Linked DNA regions of Diceros bicornis minor. Each later gene encodes a partner of the first gene's protein in a complex. Links are inferred from orthologs where the notes say so. Each region holds a gene or a part of one and is shown in the gene's direction. Other genes may lie near its edges.

Region 1 (7,289 bases):
TATGAAAAAGACTAACATGAAATATATTAAAGTGATCCTGGTGGCGATGTTGTGATGATAGAATTAGGATTCATCCTCCAGCCCTCTCCCCATCTTTTCATCTGTCTAAAATGTTTTATAACTAAAAGAGTGTATTGAAAATAACACAATACTTTTTCAAATAAGAGAAAAAGTCAATAGCTGACAGTTATATGCTAAGATAAAATTAACTTTCTGCAAAATTGTTAATTATAATGATTAGATGACCATTATCCTGATTTCCTTAGCCAACTTCTTTTATTCTGTTTTGCCTTTTCTCCTGCCCCAATCTTCTCTAATTATCTCAGTCTGGACCTTTTTTATTTTTTTTTTTAAAGTTTCCTGGAATACCTTGAATAAAACTTACCTGTCTTATTACTCTTGCTGGGACCGTCAATTATTCCTGAATATTGACTTGGTAAATGTTAACAAGATCGTATGCAACCTCCCTTGGTGAACATACGTCTAGAGATAATGACACAGAGAATACTTTGGTTTACTCAACCACTACAGATCCCTTCATTCATTCATTCATGCATTCATTCATTCAGCTCAGTCCTAGTCAATGATTTTGATGATGATCCAGAAGGAACATTTATCATATTTGTGGATAATTTGAAGCAGGAGATATAATAAATGCACCGAATGGCAGAATTGGAGATCAGAAAGATTTCAAAAGGCCAGAAAGAAGGATTAAATCAAACAAGAAGTTTAATAAGAGTGTGTATAAGGGTCTGCAATTTGAGTTGTCAAAAGCTGTGGCTGTACAAGTATAGCCAGATCACAGCTCTTGTGAAAGAGCCTCAGGGGTTTTAACTAAGAGCAAGTTCTCTAAGAGTCCAGGGTGTGAAGTAGCCGACAGAAAAGGCTCCTTTGATCTTCGGTTGCAGTAACAGAAGTATAGTGGCTATGTCATGGCCCCTGGGGAGTAGAAGGAGGTTCAGGGCTAACTAGGAGTCAGAGCTGGGGGACACAGCCTCAAAACTAAGCTGAAACCCTGAATAAATCAAAATGAGATAAACAGCAGCAGTGTCAACCTGCGGGAGGAACAGAGAGCCAGGCACACAGTGAAGCTTCTGGAGCAGAAAGGAGGGGAGGGAGGCTGTTCACAACCAGTGGCCCCTAGGGAGCTCCATCAGAACTCAGCGTCTGACAAGTTAAACCATAACTGTGCCTGCCTGCTGAACTCCACAGAGCTTGCTACATGAGGTTTGTGAGTGTGTGCGTCTTAGATCAAGGAACCTGCACTGTCAAGTGCATGTGTATTGAGGGGTGTTTTTTCCATACAACACAGAAGGTTTTATAAGATCATTTGGTTCTTGTAGCCAACCATACATATTTATGCTATGCAGTGTGTAGCCATGGAGTATATTTTTTCTTTGTTCTGCAGCTCCCTGACCCACGTGGGGATGAAATTTCTCATTGAGCCCCAGTGACTGCAAGCTGAGCAGCTCCACGCTTGGTCCCCTATGGGAAGATGAGGCCCTGGGGTCCCACCGGTCTCTCACACTGATGTTCCCACACTGTTATCCAGTCTTGAATATTAAAGCTGTTGGTTTTACTAACAGTGTGCCTCTGAATAGGGACTAGAAAGAATCCTCAAGAGAGTGTTTGCAGCTGATAACAGGAGAGAGTGTCTGGTTTTGCAGGAGATGAAATGTTCTTTTGTATGTGAGCAGGAAGCAACAGATAGTCTACTTCAATAGCTTTTTATACCCACCAGGCATGTTGAAATTGATCTTTTCCATCACTATTATCTATAAAACCTCTTTCGTTAGTGATTTAGTTAGAAGAATGCTGTAGCCCATTCTCATTCAAAGGTATTATCTCTTTTTGGAGGGAGAGTTGAGAGCCATACCTTTATTCTCACATCATTTTAGCTTAGATATTCACTTATCTAATGCTAAAATTTATCTAAGCTAAAATGAAATCAGGAACAAAACCTTGTGACAACTTGTAGCATCTTGAGTTCTTTGTGAGGAGAAAAGACATTGCTGAAAAGACATTGCTGACTATAATTAAAAGACTGCAACTTTCAAAAGAATAGTTGAGGAATTTGTGGAGGACCACTCAACGCAGAATGATTTTGGTATAAATTAAGTTAGATTCAACCATGATTCTTTTAACCTTGAATAATTGAGCAATATGTTAGTATTGTTGACTGGCATCTTAGACTATGAAGATTGTTTTAGCTGTGCAGCAAATACCTGTTCTGGCTTCACAAATAAACTCGACATAGGTTCATTTCTGGCAGCAGGTATGTGGAGTGTTGTCCGTGTGTTTAAGAATCAAATAGCATTTGAAAAGTTGTATTATTAAACTTTTGTAGGTTTTACTATGGACCACTTTCCCCCAGAGTCAGCGAAGTGTTTCTCCTGAGAAGCCATCCTGAACTCTGGGGACTGACCTCCTCTTCCCTGGGCCAGTGTGGACCCAAGCCCCCCCCAGCACCGTGATCCTTGCACTGTATTGTCATGGCCTCTTTACACGTCAACTTTCTCCCCAGATTCTAAGCCCCTTAGAAGACATCTCCCCATCACTGTGTTTTTGGTCCTAACACAGTGTCAGGCCCTGTGAGGTGCTACAGAAGGGCAATGCTGATAGCTTCTCCTTGGGAGAAAGCGCAGGAGTGACCAGCAGCTCTGAAGTGAGGCAGAGGGGCACTTTGGCTCTCCGGTGTGTCCCAGACTATGACCTGGGCTCAGGGACCAGTTGGGAGAAGAATCTGCTGTCAGCGTCCAGCCCTGCGATCCCTATTCACCAACTGTTCACGGAATGATCCTGTTGTTTTGGAGGAATCAGTCTTGAGGGAGGCAGAGAAACGGAGCCAAGGAGAGTGGTGAGGAGCATTGGAAAAATAGAAAGGGCTGATGAAGTTGACAGGCGAGCAATGACTGCGCGGTCTCCCTTTCTTCCGAACCATAAGGGGCTATGGCTGAGGTGCCCCGGTCCAGGTGCGCGGACGTGCGCTTCCTGCGTGGGGGAGCCGGTGGGGGACCTGTCCTTGCTCTGCCACCCAAAGGTGTGGCAACTTCGGGTTGCCCAACTTTCCTAGGTGGGGAGGTAGTCTAGTCCTTCAGGAAGGGGCTGTGGCCCGTTTGGGACCATCACAGTTCCTTTTATCATGCCCGTCTGGAGGGCACCTATTGAACTATTTTTCAAACCAGCGATATTTACAGAGACAAGACGAGGCTGCTCCGTGGAGCCTAGGACGATTTCAGCCTTTAAGATAATGAAAACATAATTGAAGAACAATGCGCAATCAGTGTCATCACAAATGATCTAGTGCCTCAAATTAATTTCAGCGGGTTTTGTTCGAAGAGCAGGAGAGTCACTCATCTTGCGTAGCAAGCTGCCATAAGAAAGATTTTTTAGAGCATTTGGGAAATAAAGTTCAAGTGCTCGGCCCTTACAAGTTGCAGGAGCAGTTTCACGCCTCAGCTTTTAAAAAGGTGTCATCATGTTATTCCTTGTTTTGCTTCAAGGAAGCTAGGAATTTAGGAAACGACTTGGGCGGGGGCATCTATGTGGCCGAAAAAGACTCATACACACTCCCCAGGGACCTGAGCGGTTCGCTGTCTTCCCGAAGGTGCCAAGTAAGCGTCTGGTCCCCTTGGGTGCTCCAGGTCCAGTCCCCCGTGCCGAGGGTCTCCGGCGCCATCCTAGACGTCTGAGGACAATCGGGGGGGCGGGGGCGGCTGGACAGCGCGGGAAATGCAAGAAATGGGAGGGAGCCGGACTGCGCCGGTGCCAAGGACACCGTCGCGGAGGCGCGGCCAGCTTCCCAATGATCGGACTTTCCGCCCCGGGGGCCGGGTAGCGGAGCTCCAGCCTTGTCCCCCTCCCAGCTTCGGGCGGCCCCCAGGGCTGAGTAAACCGGGCGGAGGGAGCCTGCAAGGATTTCCTGCGCACTCTGGAAAGGAGGAGGGGACGGAGGCAGGAGGATCGAGAGCAAGGACCCTGAACCTGCCGGGGCCGCGCTCCCGGGCCGCGTCGCCAGCGCCTCTCCACGCGAGCTAGCTCTCAGCCCCGACGCGCGCTCGGCCCCCGGCCACCCGCCCTCCGCGGCCCCCGCCCCTCTCCGCAGCCGTAGGGAATCAGGTCCCGGAGGAAGAGGGTAGGTGGGGAGGCGGATGAGGGGTGGGGGACCCCTTGACGTCACTGGAAGGAGGTGCCGGGGTAGGAAGTGGGCTGGGGAAAGGTTATAAATCGCCCCCGCCCTCGGCTCCTCTTAATCGAGGTCCGCCGGAGGCTCCGAGCGCGCCGGACGGACACTCCTCGCGGCTTCTCCCCGGCGGTGGCGGCAGCGGCAGCGGCTCGGAGCGGGCTCCGGGACTGGGGCGCAGCAGCCAGAGGACGCCAGGCTGCGAGGATTACCCGGGGAAGTGATTGTGTCCCTGGCTGGAGCCGCGGAGAGGGGCGCTTGGGGCGTAGCGCCGGAGCGCGGGCCGGGCGGCGGAGCGCGAGAAGACAGGCTCCGGCGGCTGGGTCGTTGGCCCGCGAGGAGCGCGGGCACCGGGTGAGCAGGCCGCATCGCGCTCACCATGATCAGCTGCTGGGACACCGGGGTCTTGCTGTGCGCGCTGCTCGGCGGTCTGCTTTTCACAGGTGAGGCGCGGCCCGGGCCCGGGGCTGGAAGGGGCCGCCGGGGGGCACACCCTGTGGGGCTGGGACCGGGTGCAAGCGGGGAGGTGAGGCTGCAGCCGCGAGAAGCGAGCCTCGGTAGGAACCTCGGACACTAGTTGCAGTGGGCACGCCTGGGGCGGTGGCGCCCCTTCTCCTCCGCTGAGCAGTCAGTGTGGGCCCTCGGAGAGCAGCAGGCGGGGGCCCGCGCGCATCGCCGCCCTGAACAGCTGCTGGCGCAGCGCTCGGGTCCGCGCTGGGGCTGCCCCTTTGCGGCTGAAGTCGCTGATCCTCTGCCTGGCTCCCGGGTCCGGTCTCCCGGCCGAGGCTCCTGGCTCGGGGCGCACCGCGCACCTGGACCTGCTTGACACCCAGAGCCTGCTCCCAGGCGGCCTGGCGCGGGTCTGTGGGGCCCTCCGGAGCCAGGATCAGCGGCTCCTAGAACGCCCGCGAGGCTACCCGGGGGCTGGGCTGAGGCCGGGACGTTGGCGATGTTGGGCACTGGCCACGACGTCGCGCCTCGAGAGGGAAGGAGGAAAGCCACCTTGGAAGGGGTCGCGTGCTTGCCGGGAGCAGACGGATCCCAGGAGATGGCAAACGCTGGTATCCTACCCACTTCGGGCCCCGGAGCCCGACTGTCCCCAGGAACGTTCCAGGAGCGTCCACGCCTCCCCGCCGCTCGTCTACCGCGGGGCTGAGCGCGCTGCGCGCAGCCACCCGGGTGGGGCCTCTGCCGCCGGTCCAGCCCAGGTCGCCGACCTAAGTGAACCTGACCGACGAGGGCAGCCAAGGACCCAAATACTGTTAAGTTTCTGAATGGCAAGCCTAGCCTTTAAATTCCGAGAGAAGAAAGGGACGAGGATTTAGACGAAAAGATGCGGCTTGAGGAATCGGTGAGGTCCGCCCCTTGGCCGGGCGTTAGAAAAACAGGCTGCGGAACCATGGGCAGCCAGGAGGTTACACCCGCCGTCAGCGTGGAGGCCGCCCCGTCGAGGCGTCAAAGCCCGGGGGGATTTAGGGGCTCGTCCTTGCCGTTTCTGCCCAGCGGGGATGAGTGGCCAAGCCCTCTGGTTCAGGCCCCCTGGGCAGAGAGAGCCAGATTTCGGAGCGCCTTTCTTTTAAGCATCGTGGAGAAAAGGTAAAATATGAAATAAAACAGTAACATAAATTATTGCAATGATTCTCGGGAAGGAAAGTCAGTAGGGTTGAGCATATTAGGAAAAAAAAAAAAAAAAAGCTTGTTAAACCCAAAAGTCAGTAACAGTGAAATATTCTTTCTCAGTGGGAAGACTAATTAGAAGTTTTAAAATAACTAGTAATAGTTCCAGTTAGGTTGGTAAAACTATTAAACCGAGAGGCAAGGCGAAATCGTAATGTCTGAGGACTCGCTATCGTTGGGAAAGTTGCTAAAATAACTATATTAAGTGGAATATTTTCTATTTCAAAAATACATATTTTTTGTTTTGAAATGTCGCTTATATTGAAATATAATTGTTTAGAGCATTTAAATAACTTGCTGAAGTCCATGCGTCTGTTATGTAAAGGTAAATCGAGGTCAATTACTGTGAATCCAAAAAATGGAGCGAAAATGATTGGATTTTCTTCTTCACACATACGTCTTCATTTTTGTTCAAAAACGTGGTTGACTAGTGCAGGATAGTTCTGTTATTGGGAGCAACTTAGATCTGTGAAGCCTTGACACACGAGTGAGATCTTGTGATTTCTCTTAGATTTTATTTTATTTAAATGAGGCAGAAATCGTGGCGCTCTTTTGTGACTTTTTAAAAAATTTACATACATGTGATAGAAAGAAAGCAAGATAAAATATTGGCAAGGTGAGAACTCCTTTACCTCCGGGTTTAGAGAATGTTCTATCAGCGGTTGGGCTTTGTAGTTCCCTTTGCACACCACAGGCTTCTCCTGCTGATTAACAGACATCTCACAGTAAAACAGCTACCTACTTTCTAAACTGCATCAGAGCTTTCAAACTGAACGAGGGGCTGCATCTCTGGGGAGTGGTGAAAGGGGCTGAGTTTCTGTCTGGTGGATTTATCAGAAATCCACTCTTCAAGGGCGCTCATGGGTGGGGTCTGCTCACCTGCAGGTGCTATAAGGTCTTTGAATATTTATCAGTTATTAATATTGTGTGTGTGTGCACTGAAGTGTAAAATAACCAGAGGTTCGGTAATACAAAAAGATAATGCATTTCTCCTAAAGAGTATATTTACCTTCTTCCAAATATCCTGGGGGAATAATAAGATGCTAGTAATTCAGACACTTTCAGGAGGACTTGAAAGTCCTCTATGTTGAGGTCTCTGCCTCTGTGAAGGATACCAGTCCTCCTTTTCTCCAGCTCAAAGTCTCATTTTCTTAATTTTAAGGCACCACACCCTTGATTAAAGCCATGACTCTTTTTTTCTGGCCCATTTTTCCTGTATTTTTGAGCAGCTGACACTTACAATTTGCTATAACTGGAAATACTTCACTTGTGAATTCTGTGAAGGAAGTCTACACTAATAAAGTTAAATCAAGATGTACGTGAAAATAATAGCCATTTCCAAATTGAATGTAATGTCTTTCATAATAAAGCTAATTTTACATAATAATTTTTAATTGTTTTTCGTTGTTGTTTTCTCCAAGGTTTATGA
Region 2 (7,945 bases), on another chromosome or scaffold:
GCCTGACTTCTGAGCAGGTGAGGAAGCACTACACGAGTGGGGGACCTGAGGCCCACGAGTCCACGGGAATCATCTTTGTGGAGACACAGGTGCGAGGTGGCAACGTGTGTCTTGCTTGGACAAGGAGCTGGGGTGGGGGCTTGCAGAGGCCAGGACTGCCCCCTGGGGATGGATCAGACGGAGGCTCCCAGATCTCTCAGAACTTTCCTCTGGAGCCCCAAGGCCTCATTGGGGATGCCTTCAGCCCAAGGGAGAGGGCCAGGGACCTGTTCAGCCCCCTCGACATGTCTCCCTAGGGACAGGGCAGTACAGAGGGCTCTGCGGCTCAGGAACTGGGCACAGCTCCTGCGGGAGACCTGAGGGATGTCTGGGTCTGTCTCCCCATAGAGCGTGCGGAGGTTGCAGGAGACAGAAATGTGGGCTGAGCTCTGCCCCTCGGCCAAAGGCGCCATCTTCCTCTACAACCGGGTCCAGGGAAGTCCCACCTGAGTCACCTTAGGGTCCCAGCCCAATCACTACAGCTCGGAAGACAATAAAGGACTTTATTCTTGATAAAGGACTTGATTCCTCTGGCATCTGCTGTTTCCGTGAGACCGAGAGGGGCCGCTGGGAGAGCCCTGGGTGGGTGAGAGAGACAGGACAAGTGACTTGGGGAAAAAAAAAAAAGCCCAGCCTCAGTATCCCCTCTGCAAGCTGGGAGGAGGGCCGTGCCCCCTTGCCAGGCTCTGGTGAGGGTGTGGGCCAACTATGGGGAGGAAGCTGCTCTGTCTCCGGCAGAGCGGAGGAGCAGCCATGTCTGCGGGACAGGGCGACGACGCCGGGGCAGAAAGCCTCACTGAGGGTCAGCCTCCGTCCCACTCGCCTACCCAGTGGGCGCCCGCGTCTTTCCGCACCTCCGCGGACCTTGCCCTCGGTGGGTGGGCCCGAGGCGCCAAAGGCCAATGGGCGGGCGGGGGCGGGGCCGTCGCATCAACTTCCGGGCAAGTGGGCGTGGTCGTGGAGCCTAAATCAATGAGAATGTGGGCCGGGGCCTGAATAGGAACAGGAAATGGCTGCGGCCGCGGAGTCCGTGAGCGCAGCGGGGGCGGGGCTTGGTCGTGGCTCCTCCTTGGCTCGCCCCGCAAACTCCCCGGGTGGGCCGGGGTTCTTGGCTTCCAGGGCTGGTTGTCCAGACGCGGAGGCCGACGTGGAGAAGGGTCCTGGACGCCGGGTCAGAGGCAGGGGACAGGTCCAGAACACTGGGGTCTGGTCCTGAACAAGGAAGCCCCACCCGCGCCTGGGTGCCCCGGCCTGCTTCAGTTTTCCTTCGGAAGTAACCCGGGCCAGGCCCCTTCCCTCGGCCCCCGGAGTGCGTGAAGTCTGGCCCATCCTGGCCCCAATGCACTCCTTTGTGGCTTCCTCTCCCCAGCCGCCCGCCTGCCGCCATGCTGCCCCTGCTGCCCCTGCGCCTGTGCCGGTCGTGGCCCCGCAGCCCTCCCACCCGGCTCCTCGCAACGGCCGCCCGGCAGCGGTGAGTCGGGCGCCAGGGGCCCGCCCGGTCGTTCAGTGGGTTTCTGCTGAGGGCCTGCCCAGCTCTAGGCCCTGCCGTGGGTGCCGAGATAGTCGTGATCTCTCTGCTCTGTCAGGCACCTTACAAGCTGTGTCAGGTAACCCTCACCTTCACTGCTGGGGACACAGGATCAGACATTAAGGAACGACCCCCAAGGTCGTCCAGCGAGTTAAGAGGCAGATCTGAAATTTGAGCCCAAACCAAACCCAATGCACTTTTCACAACTCTAGTGATTGGCAAGCATCACTGTGCATGACCCACTGCGGGTAGGGGGTGGGGGTGGGGGGTGGAGTTACAAAAATGCAGATTCCAGGGCCCTGCTCTGTAGATTCGGATCTGCAGGAATAGAGGTGGGGCTCAGGAACCTGTTTTTTAAATTTTTTTGCTGAGGAAGATTAGCCCTGAGCTAACATCTGTGCCAGTCTTCCTCCACTATATATGTGGGTCGCTGCCACAGCATGGCTGATAAGTGGTGTAGGTCTGAGCCCGGGGATCCGAACCCTCAAATCCTGGCCACCGAAGCGGAGCACGCCGGCCTTAACCACTACTCCACGGGCCGGCCCCTAGGAATCTGGTTTTATTTTTTTTTATTTATTCCCCCCCCCAAAGCCCCAGTAGATAGTTATATATCATAGCTGCACATCCTTCTAGTTGCTGTATGTGGGACGCGCCCTCAGCATGGCTGGAGAAGCAGTGCATTGGTGCACGCCCAGGATCCGAACCCCGGGCCGCCAGCAGCGGAGCGCAGCACTTAACCGCCAAGCCACGGGGCTGGCCCAAGGAATCTGTTTTTTTAAACAAGCTTTTCAAGTGTTTCTGATGCAAGGGGTCTGAGGACTACACTTTCAGACGTTCTGATCTGCACCATACCCGAAACACTCAAGAGGGGAGGGATGGTTTGCTGATAGCTCTCCCTTGACACCTGCCTCAGCCCCCTCAGGTCCTGGCTGCTGAGTTAAAGGGTGTGGCCCAGGGGGGCTGGGAGGGGCAGGGAAGGGCTACCCTCTGTGTTTCCTTAGCCCCTACAGGTTTGGGCCTCTCTCCACAGGTCTGGCCCCAGTAACTACTATGAACTGTTGGGGGTGCATCCTAGTGCCAGCACTGAAGAAGTTAAACGAGCTTTCTTCTCCAAGTCCAAAGAGGTACCAGTGGTCCTAGGTGGGGAGGGGGAGGGGAAGTCTGAGCCAGATGGGGTGCACTCCAAATTCCCAGGAATGGAGCAGAGTGGCTCATTCTGGTGGATGCCACATTCCCTCAGCATGCATAGGGAGTGGGAGGTGCCCCAAGGGCAGAGGTCTGGCCAGGTGGGGGGACAGGCTGGGTGCAGGAGCCAGGGGCCCTGTCTGATGGGCTTGGTTCTCTTGACTTGCCTGCTCTTGAGAAAGCCTGGACCAGGGCACATAGTGAGAGCTAGGCAGCAGGTGGGGAGGGCTTGAACAAGGGGAGCAGGCAGGAGTCTGTGCTTCCTGACTCTCTGGCCTTCTGGAGGGGTGGGCAGGCCTGAGAGTGAGGGTCACTGCCCAGGCGGGGCTTCTGGGAATGATCTGAGCCCTTGTGGGTAGACATTACTGGGATGGGTCCTGGGAAGGGGCATGGAAAGGGAGATGAGGGGAGTCCTGCCCACCTCAGCTGCACCCTGACCGAGATCCCGGGAACCCAGCCCTGCACAGCCGCTTTGTGGAGCTGAGTGAAGCATACCAGGTGCTCAGCCGTGAGCAGAGCCGCCGCAGCTACGACCACCAGCTCTGGTCAGCCACTCCCCCCAGGTCTCCAGGAACCACACCCTATCCCGGGTCTGCTTATCAAGCACACAGGTATAGTAGTCCTGCCCCCAGCTTGCCCCCCAAGTCTCCTGGGGAGCCTCATCCCCACACTGTCGCTTCTTCTCCCTCCCAGCAGCTCCTGGGCGCCCCCCAATGCACAGTACTGGGCCCAGTTTCATGGCGTGAGGCCTCAGGGACCAGAGTTGAGGCAGCAGCAGCGCAGACACAACAAGCGGGTGCTGGGGTACTGCCTCCTGATCATGCTGGCAGGCATGGGCCTGCACTACGCCGCCTTCAGGTGCACCCCTGGGGTCATGAGCAGAGGGTGGAGGGCAGGGGGAATCCCAGTGTGGTCAGCCGTCCATCCACACCACCCCTGTGGCCCACACTCTTGTGTCTCGCAAGCTAAGACTTGTATGAAATAGGTCTCTGGAGCCTCTCCTTACTTGGCAAGGCAGCTCGGCACTAAGGGCTAATGTCATTTTCAGTTTTTTATAATTCGAATGTAAATCTGTGGCACTGGCTGCCAGGGAGTGCTGGAGCTGACCAAAGTCAGGCACGAGAAGGCAATGCACTGTGACTCACTGGGTGGGCAGTTGGCTGTCTCCCCGCCCCTCTCTCATGCACACCATGACAGAGGTTCTACAGCAAAGATGCCTAAAGGCCAGTGTCCACTGAGCAGCCTGCCTCATTCAGTGATGGGGTGAGATGTACAGCCCTTTCTAGTCTCCTGCGAGGAGCACCCTGACATTCAGAGCTGCTGTCACCATCTTCAGCAGGATAGCCATTGGACCCTGGACAAGCCCCTGCCACTCTGTGCCCCTCTCCCCACCTAGCACAGGCAGTTAGGTTGAGGTCCCCAAGGATGTAGAGCTGTAAGACCCTAGAGTGGGGTGGGGGGGAGATGTGGGGACGGCAGGGATTGGAGGACCCAGAGTTAACTGTAACCCCCTTGCAGGAAGCTGGAGCAGGTGCACCGTAGCTTCATGGATGAAAAGGATCGGATCATCACAGCCATCTACAATGACACGCGGGCCCGGGCCAGGTCTGTCCCTGCTCTGTCCTGTCCTCGCTGTCCTGGCACCACCCTCCAGGGTCCCTGTCCCAACCCCCACGGGTGCTCTCTCCTGCAGGGCCAACAGAGCCAGGCTCCAGCAGGGGCACCGGCAGAGGCAGCCGCTGCAGCCATCGCCTGGGCCGCCCCCAAGCCCCCGGATCGTGCCCCCGGGCACCAGCCCCTGAGCCGCGCACCTGGACGGGGCCTGCTGTGTGTTCCGTCCTCGCTTCCCTACCGGGACTCTTCACTCCCCAAAGCGCGTGCAATAAAGTGCTTCTCAGAGCTCGTGTCCACCTCCCTCCTTCAGGCCCAGTGCCCCCCGCCCGTGCCTCGACGCGGGACAGCGCCCCGCCCTCCGGGATCTGGCGGCAGCGACCCAGGAGCCCGGCCCCCTGGGCGGCGCATCCCCTTTCCCCCGCTGCGGCGGGAGGGGGTGTGTGGAGGGGGCGGGCCCCGCCGGCGGCCTCGCCCCCCCGCCCCCGCCCCGCGCCCGGGTGGGGAGCGCGTGTCTGGGTCACATGAGCCGCCCGCCCGCCAGCCCGGGCCCGGCCCCCCGCCGCCCCCGCCGTCCCCGCCGTCCCCGCCGCCGCCCGCCGCCGCCACCGGCCGCCCGCCCGCCCGGCTCCTCCGGCCGCCGCCGCTGCGCTGCGCTGCGCTGCCTGCGCCCAGGGCTCGGGAGGGGGCCGCGGAGGAGCCGCCCCCCGCGCCCGGCCCCCGCCCGCCGCGCCCGGGCCCGCGCCATGGGGCTCTGGCTGCCGCCGCCCCCCGCGCCGCCGGGCTAGGGCGATGCGGGCGCCCCCGGCGCGCGGCCCCCGCGGGCACCATGAGCCCCCTGCTCCGCCGGCTGCTGCTCGCCGCGCTCCTGCAGCTGGCCCCCGCCCAGGTACGTGCGTCCCCGACATCCCGCCCGCCCGCCGTGCCCTCTCTCAAGGTTGGCGGAAGTGGGGAGGCGCGGGGCGGCCTCGGCCGGGGATCCGCGGGGTCCGGCCGCCGACAGGGGCGTCGCGGGGACCTGGCCCGGGCATCCCCCGGGAGGTGTCCTTCTCCACCCGCCGCCAGCCCAGCCCCGGGGCCACTCCCCCGCCCCACCCCGTCCCACCCCGTCCCCTGGGCGCAGCCGGGGGCGGGGCCGCCTCAGCGCCGCAGGAGCTGGGCGCCGCAGAAGCTGGTTCGGTGCCCACTGTGCCCCCTCCCGACCCACGGCCTCCAAAAAAGCCCGGCCCCCCAGGCTGGGAGAAGGATGCAGCCGGCAGAGCTCGCCTGGCGGGTTGGGGCCAGGGCAGGTCCCAGGTGGCCAGGACAGGCCAGGTAAGGCTAGAGTGGCCCCAGGAACAGAGCACTCTGGAAAAATGTCAAAGAGGAGGTGAAGCCTCCTGAACCAAGGGCAGAGCCCTGGGGACAGCAACAGGGCCAGCCCTTCCTAGGATGCACCTTGGTTATAGGTCTCTTCTCTTCCACAGGCCCCAGTCTCCCAGCCTGATGCCCCTGGCCACCAGAAGAAAGGTAATAGTAACAACAACTTTGCACTAGTCAGCACTGGTGGGCTTGCCACTGCCCTGATTCCAGGGTCTTTGTGTCCATTGTCTGTGTCATCACAGCTGCTCTGTAGGATGCAAACTCTGATTCTGCCCATTTCACAGAAGGTGACAGTGAGGCAGTGGGGTTCCTGGGTTCTGAATGAACAGGGCAGGGAAGACAAGTTGGGAGGGCAGAGGGGGCTAGTGGAGGGGGGCTGTGACATGGGAACTAGGGAGAGCAGCTGCTGGGCCGGGGTAGGGGAAGTAGGGAGCAGCTGCAGGAAACCCAGTGGGACTAAACCTTCATGCATCTGTCTCCAGTGGTGTCATGGATAGATGTGTATGCCCGTGCCACCTGTCAGCCACGGGAGGTGGTCGTGCCCCTGACTGTGGAGCTCATGGGCACTGTGGCCAAGCAACTGGTGCCAAGCTGCGTGACTGTGCAGCGCTGCGGCGGTTGCTGCCCGGACGACGGCCTGGAGTGTGTGCCCACGGGGCAGCACCAAGTCCGGATGCAGGTACTGGGGCAGGTGGAGCGTGCCCAGCTGGGGTGGATGCTGGCGCTCTGAGTCCTGGCTGGTGGGCGAGCTCCTCTCTCTCCAGCTCATGAAGCATCCCTTCCTCTCTCTGTCTCGCTGTCCCTCTCACCATCTCTCTCCCTGTCCTTCCGAGCACAGATCCTCATGATCCGGTACCCAAGCAGCCAGCTGGGGGAGATGTCTCTGGAAGAACACAGCCAATGTGAATGCAGGTGCCAGCCAGGCCCCACTTCGGAGCCCACAGAGACTAAACCTGGGGGGTGCTGGCATGGTGGGACACAGTGGGGACCAGGTGTCCCAAGAGTAGAGCCAGGGTAGGCCTGGGATCTGGGGCAAGAGAGTAGGATGTCCGGTTTTCCTCATCCTTCTCCTCCTCGTCTCTGTCTCTTACTTTTCAGACCAAAAAAAAAAGAGAGTGCTGTGAAGCCAGACAGGTGAGTCTCTTGGGCTCCTGCTGAGGTGGGTTGGAGCCCAGGCCCAGTGCCCAGGATGTAACAACGTGTGGCCATGGAGTGTGTCAGGAAGCTGTGTCCCTTCCCCTCTTTCTCCTCGCACTGGCGTCCCCCTCTCTCTTCCCCAGCTGTGTGCTCTGACCCACCCCCAGCCCCTGGGAAGACTCTTCCTTCCCGCCCCAGACATGTTGCTTCTCCTCCTAGGGCTTCCACTCCCCGCCACCGTCCCCAGCCCCGCTCTGTTCCGGGCTGGGACTCTGCCCCCGGAGCACCCTCCCCAGCTGACATCACCCATCCCACTCCAGTCCCAGGCCCCTCTGCCCACGCTGCCCCCAGCGCCGCCAGCGCCCTGACCCCCGGACCTGCCGCTGTCGCTGCCGACGCCGCAGCTTCCTCCGTTGCCAAGGGCGGGGCTTAGAGCTCAACCCAGACACCTGCAGGTGAGGAGTTGTTCGGGAAGGCATCACAGCCTGTCCTGGAGCCGGGCCAGGGTGAGCCTGCCAGTGGGAGAAGAACCAGGGAAGGGGAAGCTGTTAACGTGTTGAACAAATATTTACCCAGTGTCTGCTGGCACTGGGGTCAGCATAAACAAACTCACGTTCTAGTGCAGGAGTCGGACACGGGGACACGTGATGCCAGCAGAGGGTGTCAAGGGCTGGGGTAAGGGGAACCTGACATGTCTCTGAGAGGCCAGAGATGTCCTGGAGGAGGTGACATCTGCCTGGAGTAGAAATGAGATAGCTTGCCAATTTGCAAAGCTCCGGGCCTTCCTAGAAGCCCCTGTGGTAGACATTTGTCCCACCTTATGGGCTCTGAGAGGCCAGGGGACATAGTGGAACCTTGTCTGAGGTGCTTCTCACCACCCCTCCCTTCCACAGCGAGGCCATGGGGTGGCATCATGTGGGCCTGGCCGGCTGGGGCCTCCCTGGAGTGTTAGGAGAGAATGGGGTTCCCAGATGCTAACAAGGGGGTGAGTCTAGAGCTGGGCAGAGCTCTGCCAGTGCAAACAGACCCCCTTCCTCTCCTCTGCAGGTGCCGGAAGCTGCGAAGGTGACACATTGCTTTTCA

The links.
Region 2: the proteins of FLT1 (region 1) and VEGFB are in contact, whole or in part, in a crystal structure (PDB 2XAC), measured with the Homo sapiens proteins. The link is inferred for Diceros bicornis minor from reciprocal best matches to the Homo sapiens genes FLT1 and VEGFB. Residues at the interface, in NP_002010.2 of Homo sapiens: Tyr139, Glu141, Pro143, Phe172, Pro173, Tyr199, Ile202, Gly203, Leu204, Asn219, Leu221, Arg224, Thr226; in NP_003368.1 of Homo sapiens: Ser37, Trp38, Ile39, Tyr42, Thr43, Thr46, Cys47, Gln48, Pro83, Asp84, Asp85, Gly86, Leu87, Cys124, Arg125, Pro126.

The regions. Positions count from the first base shown.
Region 1 is NC_080748.1:11,708,687-11,715,975, reverse strand, and holds the start of FLT1 (vascular endothelial growth factor receptor 1), read left to right. Parts: upstream 1-4,277; 5' UTR 4,278-4,562; coding exon 4,563-4,626; intron 4,627-7,289. UniProt on the Homo sapiens protein: Tyrosine-protein kinase that acts as a cell-surface receptor for VEGFA, VEGFB and PGF, and plays an essential role in the development of embryonic vasculature, the regulation of angiogenesis, cell survival, cell migration, macrophage function, chemotaxis, and cancer cell invasion.
Region 2 is NC_080770.1:8,750,596-8,758,540, reverse strand, and holds the start of VEGFB (vascular endothelial growth factor B), read left to right. Parts: upstream 1-4,935; 5' UTR 4,936-5,192; coding exon 5,193-5,252; intron 5,253-5,829; coding exon 5,830-5,872; intron 5,873-6,207; coding exon 6,208-6,404; intron 6,405-6,563; coding exon 6,564-6,637; intron 6,638-6,823; coding exon 6,824-6,859; intron 6,860-7,081; coding exon 7,082-7,295; coding exon of another isoform or gene 7,296-7,317; intron 7,318-7,909; coding exon of another isoform or gene 7,910-7,931; 3' UTR 7,932-7,945. Other genes in the region: uridine diphosphate glucose pyrophosphatase NUDT22, read left to right, coding at 1-89, 388-489; DNAJC4 (dnaJ homolog subfamily C member 4), read left to right, coding at 1,425-1,510, 2,598-2,691, 3,179-3,363, 3,446-3,610, 4,271-4,357, 4,446-4,554. UniProt on the Homo sapiens protein: Growth factor for endothelial cells. VEGF-B167 binds heparin and neuropilin-1 whereas the binding to neuropilin-1 of VEGF-B186 is regulated by proteolysis.